3 linked regions of the Canis lupus familiaris genome follow. The protein of the gene in region 3 interacts with the protein of the main gene of each other region in a pairwise test. Links are inferred from orthologs where the notes say so. Each region holds a gene or a part of one and is shown on either strand. Other genes may lie near its edges. The genes, in order: TMEM239, TFIP11 and COQ8A.

Evidence for each region.
Region 1: the proteins of COQ8A (region 3) and TMEM239 interact in binary tests that used the Homo sapiens proteins (3 or more experiments, as listed by UniProt). The two-hybrid records come from large-scale screens. The link is inferred for Canis lupus familiaris from reciprocal best matches to the Homo sapiens genes COQ8A and TMEM239.
Region 2: the proteins of COQ8A (region 3) and TFIP11 interact in binary tests that used the Homo sapiens proteins (3 or more experiments, as listed by UniProt). The two-hybrid records come from large-scale screens. The link is inferred for Canis lupus familiaris from reciprocal best matches to the Homo sapiens genes COQ8A and TFIP11.

What each region holds. Positions count from the first base shown.
Region 1 is NC_049245.1:18,897,807-18,900,748, forward strand, and holds TMEM239 (transmembrane protein 239), read right to left. Parts: upstream 1,773-2,942; 5' UTR 1,637-1,772; exon of another isoform or gene 1,191-1,636; intron 1,054-1,190; 5' UTR 1,040-1,053; coding exon 584-1,039; 3' UTR 571-583; downstream 1-570. Other genes in the region: C24H20orf141 (uncharacterized protein C20orf141 homolog), read right to left, coding at 1,810-2,044, 2,138-2,409.
Region 2 is NC_049247.1:20,595,550-20,599,294, forward strand, and holds the start of TFIP11 (tuftelin-interacting protein 11), read right to left. Parts: upstream 2,728-3,745; 5' UTR 2,675-2,727; intron 991-2,674; 5' UTR 982-990; coding exon 773-981; intron 1-772. UniProt on the Homo sapiens protein: Involved in pre-mRNA splicing, specifically in spliceosome disassembly during late-stage splicing events. Intron turnover seems to proceed through reactions in two lariat-intron associated complexes termed Intron Large (IL) and Intron Small (IS).
Region 3 is NC_049228.1:38,071,904-38,075,648, forward strand, and holds the start of COQ8A (atypical kinase COQ8A, mitochondrial), read right to left. Parts: upstream 2,221-3,745; 5' UTR 2,097-2,220; intron 2,085-2,096; exon of another isoform or gene 1,995-2,084; intron 1-1,994. UniProt on the Homo sapiens protein: Atypical kinase involved in the biosynthesis of coenzyme Q, also named ubiquinone, an essential lipid-soluble electron transporter for aerobic cellular respiration.

The sequences.
Region 1 (2,942 bases), on a different chromosome or scaffold from region 3:
TGGCCCATCTCCCAGACTCAGGGATGCTCACCAAGGCAGAAGGGAAGAAGTCTAGGGAGTGGGGGATGCCTGAGCAGAAAGGAGCGAGAGGTGTTAGTTGAGGTCTCATGGGACTTCTGGACGGCCTTCTCCCAGATAGGTTTCTGTCAGTGGGCTCTTTCTAGAGCCTGGGGAAAGAGCGGAGGTTGGGGGGTTAGTGAAAGGAATGGCCAGTCAGGGCTACCGAACTAGAAATTCTCAACTGAGTCCGCAGCTGAGACAGCTGAGCAGCTACAAGAAAAAGCTGCTGCCAGTTGCTAAGGGAGCCCTAGTGGTGTCACTACAGCCTTGTGGGAACTCTCAGTGGCTTGGCCGAGCTCTGCCCCTGGCTAACCCTTCTGCCCTGTCCCTTCTCAAAGCCCCCAATGCCCCACACCAAGTACCTGTAGCATTGGCTTGGGGAAGGTGCCCAGAGGTCAGGCTAGTCTACCCTGCCAGCTTTAGCAACATCACACATGGCCCGAGCAGTGCTAGGGATGGGAGGTCTGGGGCCTCCCCTTCCCCAGGGCTCAACAGACACAGGCAGCGGGATGGGGTTGCCCTTCTATTGGTCCAAGTCCTGAGTGTAGTCTGGGTGAGACATGGAGGTGAGGAGGCCCACGAGGCTCAACAGCGTGGAGAAAAGCAGCAGGAAGGAGGCCGTGAAGAGCAGGGCAGGGAGGGCGCTGAGCACCAGCAGCAGGACAGCTGGCAGCAGATGGCGCCACGCTGCAGTCACGACAGGCCACAAGGAGCTCAGCAGGTAGGAGCCGGTGGTGAAGAGCGCGTGGCATAGCATCAGCGCCAGCAGCAGGTAGAGGATCCCCTCCAGCCCCCACAGCACACGCTGGAGTGGCTGCCGCCAGCCCGATGTGGTCCACCACTGGGCCCAGCTCCGAGGCATGTGGCACATGCACCAGCGCACCCAGGCCTGCCGCATGACCCAGGCTGACCAGGGCACTGCCTGCTGCGGCCCCTCGCCGGCCCCGATGGCACCCGTCTCCACTTGGGGCTGCTGCATCCTGGCTGGTACACCTGGGGAGAGGGCCAGGCCAGCTGCAGGAGCAGCCCCGAGATGCCTGGGACCTCAGGGCAGGTGGGGGGCAGGAGGCAGGGGCAGGAGGGTACCAGCACGGGTGGGGTGAGGCTTTGAGCCAGGGCCTGGGGCTTACCTCTGGGCAGAACCACCTAAGTCATGTTGCTTCCTGCAGCACCTAGGACGGCCTAGCGGCCAGAGTGGAGCCCCTGCTGTCCCTCTGTCCCCCCTTCCCCCCCACCAGATCCCTATTGTGACCCGGGTAGGGGTGGGGTCCAACCAAGAGAGGAGTCACTGCAGGATGTAAGACTCACCTGAATCCCTTTCCACGGACCCTCCAGGCTGCCAGGGGGTGCTGCTGAGCCCACTGATGCAGATTGTCACGCTTTCTTGTGGGAAGCCCCCTCCAGATCCTGGTTCCTACCCTACTAACTGATATCCAGTCCTACTCTGCTCTCCTGTGAGTCTTTCTGGACACTGATACTCTAGAACCACAGAGGAGGCCAGAATGGCCACCTCCCAACCCACAAACTCGGAGATGGCTGCCACATCCTGCCCTGGGACCCCCGTCCCTTAGCTCACCTTCTGTTGCTGTCCTCAGACTCAGACCCGGGTATCCACTGTCCACATTGTGGAGCTGAAGGTCCCCTGTGGTTCAGACTGGAGATAAAGGGGTACCCTCCTGCCTGCTCCACCCACAACAGAGGAAAGGCGATCTGGGGAAGCAACACTGCCAGTGTATTTCTGGAGGGCACTCAGATCCAAGGATGGAGGTAGAAAGCCAGGCCAAGCAGGGCCAAGGGCACGCTGCAGGCTCCCAGGAGTAGCCCCAGGCTCAGGAGCAGCAGTAGCAGAGCCTCCTGGGGGCTGAGTTGTCCCGTGACTGCCACCGTAGGCAGGAGTACAGCCTCCTGCAGTCCTGGGCCCTCACCGGCCCCCTGACTCTGGCCTGTGAGAAGTATGTGCTGTGGTTGGACGGGGCCTGCGGGGCTGTGGAGAGACAGGGTGACAGCTGGGCTTCCGGAAATTGACTATTTGTTTCCCTGCTTACTCCTGCCACCTGCCAGGCTGCTGCACACTTACCAGTGGAACAGGTCGAAGGTCAGGAAGCTGACCAGTAGCAGCAGCAGCAGCAGCAGCAAGACTGGGCCAGCCGTGGAAAAGACTGCCCGAACTGTCAGTCCCAGTGCCCCCAGCCCTAGGACACTGTCCCAGAGCTGGGCCGGGCTAAGGCCCCAGGGAGACATACATGGACTTACTGGACTATTCGACCCCTCCCCAGCACTCAGGCCCCTGGGAGGGACTGGGATAGGATAAGCAGGGCCTTTGGGCCTGGGCAAGCAAAGCTGGGTCATAGAGGGAGGTGGAGATGACAGGAAGGACTAGTGCTGGGAGGGAGTTGGGGTGGGTAGGTATGTGGGACCGGGTGGGGCCCTGACAGACACTCGAGAGTAAACTGCGTGGGAATCTCCGCCTCCCCACACACTCACTCACCACACCCTCCTCACCTGCTACTTCAGTCAGCTGTTATGGGACTGGGCAGCTGGGACATTGTGACCTATTGCCAGGTGGGGTTCTGGGGTACAGAGGGAGCTGTGGCTGGTTTTGACCTCCTAAGCAGCTGGTATCTTAGGTGAGGCTTAGCCAGAAGGGAGTCATGATTTCTGAGAACTAAGACTCATCCTCTTGCCTTGGTGAATTCTCTGCCCCCAGGACTCCCCAAGAGGATCTGAGTTACCAGGAAGGCATTCTAACCCCATCACCACGTGGGTAAGAGAGGAAGGGCCGCTCTCTTTCTCCTGCGGGTTCCCAGAGCTCTGTGTCCAGGGACAATTATTCAATCTTCCTGTCGGCAGCTGTCTCTCCCCTGAGAGCTGGATGATGCCTT
Region 2 (3,745 bases), on a different chromosome or scaffold from region 3:
CTACAAACCACAGACGAAACACAGAGACAAAGCCAAACTCGCTACACGCTCTGGTCAAGTGAGCTGTGGCCACTGCACACATGACCTCTCACACTGGGGAGGACGACTACTGGCCTGAATCCTCCTCTCCTGCCTCATGGAGTTTCCTCTTCCCCTGCAGCTCCCTGTCAACTCTGCACACTGACAGGTCTTCTCCAAAGGTAAGTGCAGCCCACATCATCCGCTCTACCACAGACCTCTTCTCAAACTATGCCCCCTCTCCCTCCCTCACCGCAGCCTGCAAAGCTTTCTGTACCCCTGTGGACACCCACCGCCTCCCCTCAGGAGCCTCTGCATACCCGTGCCTCTCCTACCACCCTCATTACCTTCTGCTGTAATAGAAACTCAAAAGTCACTTCTCTAGAGAAATCTTCCCTCACCTCCCAGAATAGGCCAAACTCTCTCTCTCTCAGGTCCTAAATCAGTTATAAACTTCCATCGTATGAGCTGTCAATTAATGTGTCTCCATGCTCTAGCGTCTGGGCTCCCAGAAGGAAAGGAATGGGGCTGCAGTATACGACATGGTACATATAACTGCTCGTTAAACATGAAGTGATGGTTAAATCAGCAAAAGAGCAGCACTCCGGCCAAAGAGGAAGCTGGGCCTCCCTAGCTTATATCGTAGCTACAGGACTTGGTAAGGCCAGGAGAAAGGTATATTTAGTGGGCTATCTTCCCACCACCCCCCATCTTCCCTAAAGCGAGGAGGAAGCAGTCTCATGCTGGCCAGTACCGTTTGCCTCCAAAGCTGGGCCTCTCTTCATCTGAATCTCTCTCTGCCCACACTCCATAGGTGGCCTCTTCCTTGGTCTGCCAGTGGCGCTGCCGGTTGGGGTTAAATTCATTCTGGAGATCCCAGTCGGTGATCTCAAAGTTCTCCCGCTCATCGTCATCATCATCCATGTGGCCTTCCCCATCCCGGTACAAGTGGGACAGTGACATGACAGGTCACTAAAGAAAGGAATAAAAAAGGCACGTGGTTTGTGGTAAGTCCTGAGGGGAGAGCAGCAGTAGGCTTCCGTCCCTGCTCCTCACTCCCTTCAAACTTCCTCACACTCAAAGTCCCAATGATTAAAAATCATTGTTAACAGTTCAATAAGGCAGACATTAAAAACATATTTCAGAAAACAAACACTATTTAAACAGGTGGGACAAAAGACTGGTCCCAACAATATGCGATTCCCTGTCCTGGTCAAGGTCATAAAACTTTACACACACTCACACCTAAATAACCCACAAAAAAATAACTCGGTATGTTATTCTACTTATTACTGCCTCAGAAACGGGGTGGGCATCTTCCTGGAACCCCCCCCCCTTTTTTTTTAATACCATGATGACACTTTGTTTTCTTTCATACTGAACTGGCATGATATAGTTTAGAATAGAGAGCTGGTCTGCAGTATCTTCCAGAACCGCAGAGATCCTCAGCACATCTAGAATGGAGAGTGGCTCTACGATGTCTGGGAGGACTTCTTTTTCCGGTTCTTCAGCTGTTTCTTTTTCTTCTTCTACAGCACTGGGTGGCTCGCCTGTCACGGACACTGTCACCTCAGAATGCCAGATGTTTGCTGGAAGATTTGAGGCTTCTAACTGGCCTTCTCCCATTCTTCTTAAATTAGTTGTAACTTCAATGGTACTTTTACAATCTCACAAAAAAATGTAGTTACTCTGGAGTCAAAACGAAGGATCAACAACAACTAAATATGAGGAAAGAGTTACTATATCTGGACCCTTGGCGGTTCACCACCGGGAGTGATGGTTTTTAGAACACGCTTCCTGAAGTATATTACTTGGTGAGACCCTAAGACTTAAAAGTTTTCCTCCCAAAACATGAACTTCTTCTGAAGGCATAAACCCTACCTTAACAGAGATTTCAGCTCCTGGTAGCTGAGTGATGAGATTCAGCTGACTCTACCCCCACCCTCTGGGAATGCCTGTGAGCCAGATTAAACGAGGTGGTGCCTAAAAGACGCTTAGCTCAGGGGTGCTTGGGTGGGCCAGCTGGATAAGCATCTGCCTTAAGCTCAGGTCAAGACCTCGGGGTCCTTGCTCGGCGGGGACTCTGCTTCTTCCGCTCCAGCTCGGCCCCTCCCCACCCCGCTTCACGTTCTCTCTCAAATAAGTATTTCTTAAAAAATTTAAAATACTAAGCTCAGAGTAAAAACGCTCCGGGAGCAAGGGCTGTTACGGTAGCCCCAGATCAGGTTCCTCACCGCCACTATCAGTAGGTTGGGGAGGGGACCTCGGGGAGGACTGCTGAAACCCCAGCTCCGGCGGGTCGGCGGCGGCGTCGCGGCGTCACCACAGCCGCGGGCGGCAAGCAGCCTTCGCGGGGGCCGGCGCGTCCGGGCGCTAGTCCCCAGGCTCCCCGGCTCACTGCACCCCCGCCACGCTGGCGGGGCGCACAGAAGGGAAGCGCCCCCGAGCACTCGGGGCTCCGCAGCGCCTCGGCCTCCCCGGGCCCCCGAAGAGCCCGCGCGGGGCGGACGAGCCAGGGGCAGCACCGGGCCTCGGTTCCGCGCCGACGGCGCTCGAAAGCAGGCTTGGAGCAGGCTGCGCGGAGGGGCTGCGTCCCCCGCACTCACGCCCGCCGGCGGGGACGCCCCACCGCTGCCCGCACCCCCGCCCCGCTCACCTCCGCAGGTCCCGGGTCCAAGCGCAGCTACCGGCCGGAGGCCAGGAGCCCGGATGTGCCCGCGGCGGCGCGCCGGAAATGACGTACAAGGGGGCGGGGGCGGGCGCGGGGCGCTCTTCGTCACGGCCGCGACGGGCGAGCGCGTCCCGGGCTCCAACGGGGCGGGGCCGAGTGCGAGGGAGGAGGCGGGGCTTCCAGGGCCTCGGATGGCGGCGGGCGCGCTGCCGGACCTCCCCGACCTCCCCGACCTCCTCCCCGACCTCCCCGACCTCCGTGCCGCGCCCGGCCCGCGGGGACCCCGCCGCCAGTCTGAGACTCGACTGCGTAAAAGGGGCTAGAGGACTGGCGCACGGGGCAGCGGTGAGGGCCAGCGGGCGGCCGCGGGGCGCGGGGCGGGGGGCGCGGGGCGCGGGGCCAGGCTGCCGGCGGGAGCAAGGTCTCGGGTGCCGTCGGGGCCCCTGGCCGAGCACCGCGGTGGGCGCGGAGCTTGAGAGCGCAGGGACGGGCGGACCAGGGCCCCACGCGCTCCCTCCGGGAACCGCCCCCCAGCCCGTGGTCGAGACCTTCATTCCTTCACCGATTGATAGGACCGTGCGGAGCCCCGCGGGCCGAGGCTCAAGGGCTTCGGGCCGCCCGGGGAGTGGCGGCTGCCTCTGCACCCCGCAAGCACCCGGGCCCGGGGCCCCCCTAGTCCCTGCGCCTCTGGAAGCCTCGCTTTCCTCTTCTGCAAAATGGTTGAGGATCCGGGGAGATGAAATGTGCAAGCACAGGGCTGCCTAGGCGTGTCAGCCCCTAGTCTTCGCTCACGTTCTTTCTCTCTCCTTCCTATGATGAAAAGGTGCAAGCGGCAGTTGTTAAGAATACACGGAGCGCACCCGGCTCTTAGTCAAAGATCTGGATCCAACTTCCCGCCGTTGTGAATGAAACCAGAACCCACAGGAAGGCAAGCGACTGCCAGCTTCTCGAAACACGCGCTGTGACTCCCGTGGTCTCTGCGTCCCCACTGACGTGTGTCACCGAGGCCGACACACAGTGTGTAGTCAGGAAAGATGTTAGAAAGTGAGGTTTCAT
Region 3 (3,745 bases):
CCATGGCTCTTGGTGGAAAATTATCCTGCCAAGTTTGGACTTCTCTAAGCTTCGTTTTGAGAAAGAAGAAGTGACCTCTCTGTCCAGATCCTTTTCTACTGGCAACCAAGGGCACCCAAAAGGCCGCCTAACTAAACCAAGGAATGTCACAGGAAAATCCTGATACACATCCACAGGAGTCAATTAACAAGACAGAAATCGTGGGAGATCGGGGCTTGGGATATTTTTCCTTGCCCTAGGCAATAATCACTGTTTTTCAGCTTTTCTGCATCCCATCGATTTGGTACTTTGAACTTTGGGACATAAATTTTGAACTTTTGGACTGAATGCAAAATCTAGACTTAAAAATAAAGCCTCTTTCTCTGCATCTTTGTCACTGACATTTCAATCACCCATAAAGGAACTGTACAAGTGATACATGTGCCTCTCATGAGGGGCACACAGCTCATGTCAGCATCCCCACACAGACGCTTGAAATGCAGCCACTTACTTTCTGCACACACAGGGCTGGTCCCCTCCCACATCATAAGACACAAGAAGATGACCAAAGCATCACCTTGAAGAGCCACTTGTGGATAATGGAGTTGACCTTTCTGCCAAGATACAGAAGCCTGAAACTTGTTTAGTCACTATTTTAAAACTGATCCATGGTTACTCCACATGCATATCCCCCACTGTCTTGCAAAGTCTCCAAAGATAGAAACCACCAGGCTTCTACTTCTGTTCGCTCTGGACCGTCACTGCCACGCATCCAGCAGGCCCCGGCAATGCCCATGAGCTTCTACCTCCTATGGCTCTCCTCTCCCTCCAGTTGGGGGGGCGGGGGGAGTGGTCTCTTTTGAAGCCTGTCTACATGGCTTCTATCACTGGTTCAGGGCAGGGGGCACACTACTATCTCTTGTCTAAGCCTCTCAACTACTCACTCACAGGTCCCAGCACGTCTCTCCAGCAGCATGAGAAGACTCTTTTTATAGTCTTAGCTCAATAGTTCTCAACCAAGGACGATTTTGCTACCTACGACACATTTGGCAATGTCTGGAGAAATTTCTGATTTCTCTAACAACCAGTGTGTGTGGTTGGGGTGGGGGATTGCTACCAGCACATAGCGGACAGAGACCAGGGATGCTGCTGCACATCCAGCAATGCACAGAGCAGCCCTCCCACAACAAGGAACTGTCCTGTCCATATGTCAATAGTCTGAAGACGGGGAAACCTGTCTGCGGTGACACATAGGAAGTGCTCAAATCACCTGGGTCACTTTTCCCTCAAGCTGCCCAAGGTCAGGCCAAAAATTGTAATAACCCTGCACTGTCTAGAAGACTGAACAAAATACCCAGAGCCACCACCAGAGTCTTAAGGACACTGCTCCTGTGAACCAACAGTACCCCCCTCTTCCCCTCTCAGGAGAAGGGCCATCCTGCCAGGATGACCTGTCCATCCACAACAGGACAACTGGCAGGCGAGTATCACGCTGCTGGGATCCTCTGGCAACCCGTTAGGCGTGGCAGGCCCAGCTCTTGGGTCTTCTGTCACGCACACCCCAGGGCCCAAACGAGCCCAAGTTTTCCAACGGGCTGTGCCGGGACAGGCTGACAGGCAGCCGAGGGCCTCTCGCCCTTCAGGAGGCTGGCACCCCTCAGCCACGTGGAGAGCCCCAGCGCCCACACCTGCCTGGCGGCCTCCCGGGCCCCCCGGGCCCGCGCACACACTGCGTGCGGCAGAGGGCTGGGATGAGGGACAGGCACCAGCTCAGGCACTCCGGGGACCCCAGTGCTTGCAGAAGCAGGAGGAAGGGCCCACGAAAAGCGAACGGAGCAGAGGAGCGAGAAGGGCCCCCTTTCCCAAGTCCACCCCGAACCCCCACCTGTGAAACCCGGGAGTCGGAGCTCCGGCCTGAGCCTGCAGCAGGCGGCACGCCCAACCCCGCGCACGGGCGGCGGGCCTGGGAGCGAGCACCGCCGGGGAACTGGGAGCGGGGCCGGGGGCGGGCGCACCTCGGCACGGGGAAGCCGCCCGGGCGCGGGGCACCGGAGGGAGGGGCGCGCGCAGGCGGAAGGCGAGCCCGGCCGTGCCTTCGCGGCGCGCGGCGGCCTTACCCGGCGGCAGGAAGCGGGGCTCTGGGTCACCTTCGCGCCGCCTGCGCGATGCCCGCCGCAGCGCCGGCGCCGCCAGCGCCCCGGATCTGTTTACCTCGCCGCCCGCGTCCGGACTCCCCGCCCGCGGCCCCGCCCCCTGCGGCCGCGGCCCCGCCCCGCGGGCGCTCCCATTGGCCGAGCCGCCGTGCCCGGCCACACGCCGCGCGGCGCGGAGCAGCGTGCTCGGCCCGTGCGCGCGCGCCGCGGCCAATGAGAGCCGAGGGCGGAGCGAGGGGCGTCCAATGGGGGGCCGCCGGGCGCTCGGGGCCCCTCCCGCCCTCGCTCGGCGCTGCCCTTTGCCCTAGTTGGGAAACCGCTACGGCTGGCGGCGCCCACTTTCCCTAAGTGGGGGGCCGCGTGGTGGGCTTGTGCCCGGGGCCGGACCTTCCACCTGCCCTCGGCTCGGGGGCGGAGGACCGGGGGATGAGTGTGAGCCCCGGGACGGACCCTCCGCCCGCCCTCTGCTCCCGCCCGGGACTCGCGGAGCCCCCCACGCCTCCTCCCCTGCCCCCAGGATAGGAGTGTCGTGCCACGTGTGTGTGCATACCTGCACACGTGCATGCTCACCCCCCCCATAACCCAAGACTCAGGTGGGACACTCCGCTGAGAAGCAGGATGCTCCAGGAATCCCCCTGCCATCTCCAGAATGCTTCCTAATGTTTTTCCCACCAGCCTGCGATGACGCTTAGCCACCTCTCACCCTTTGCCCCATCCCCACCTCTGCTCCCATTTTCAGCAAAGCTCATGGAAGAAGTAACTGCATTCATTTTCTCTGCTTCCTTCTCTCCCATTCTGCCTGAAGCCATCTGGTCAGCCCTCGCCCCGCATGTCCCCCAGAACTGCACCTGTGACCTGTGACCTCCAGGCTGCCAGACCAGGCAGTCTGTCCTCAGGGCTCATCTAAACTATGGTGGCAGGTGACAGGGGTGGCCACGCCTTCTGTTTTCTCGGTGATTGCCCTGGGGTATAATTAACATCCTGATCCTAATAGGAGCTTAATTCCAATAATACACAGAAACTTTGCTCCTATATAATTCCATTCTACTCCTCTTCTGTTTGGTATTGTCATACAATTACATTTTTTATATTGTCTGCCCACCTCCACAGATTTATCATTATTGCTTTATGTGGTCGTTTTCAAATCAAGAGAAGAGGGGCCCCAGGGTGGCTCAGTTGGTGAGGTGTCTGCCTTGAGGTTGGGTCATGATCTCCCAGTCCTGGGATCAGCCCCATGTCTGGCTCCCTTCTCAGCAGGGGGCCTGTTTCTCCCTCTCCCCTTGCATGTGCGCTCGCTCTCTCACTCTCTCTCTCTTCTCTCCCTCTCTCTCTTTTCGTGCTTTCTCTCAAGTCTTTTTTTAAAAATCAGGAGAAGTAAGAGTTACAAACAAAAAATATATTAATGCTGCCTATTTACCTATATAGTTTCCTTTACCAGGGTTCCTTATTTCTTCATGTGCATTTGAGTTAACGTCCTTTCATTTCAGCCTGAAGGACACCATTTTTTTTTTTTTTTTTTTTTTTTTTACACGGCAGGTGTGCCCTAATGATGAATGCCGGCAGTGTTTGTTCATCTGGCAAAGTCTTAATTTGTCCTTCATTTTTGAAGGACA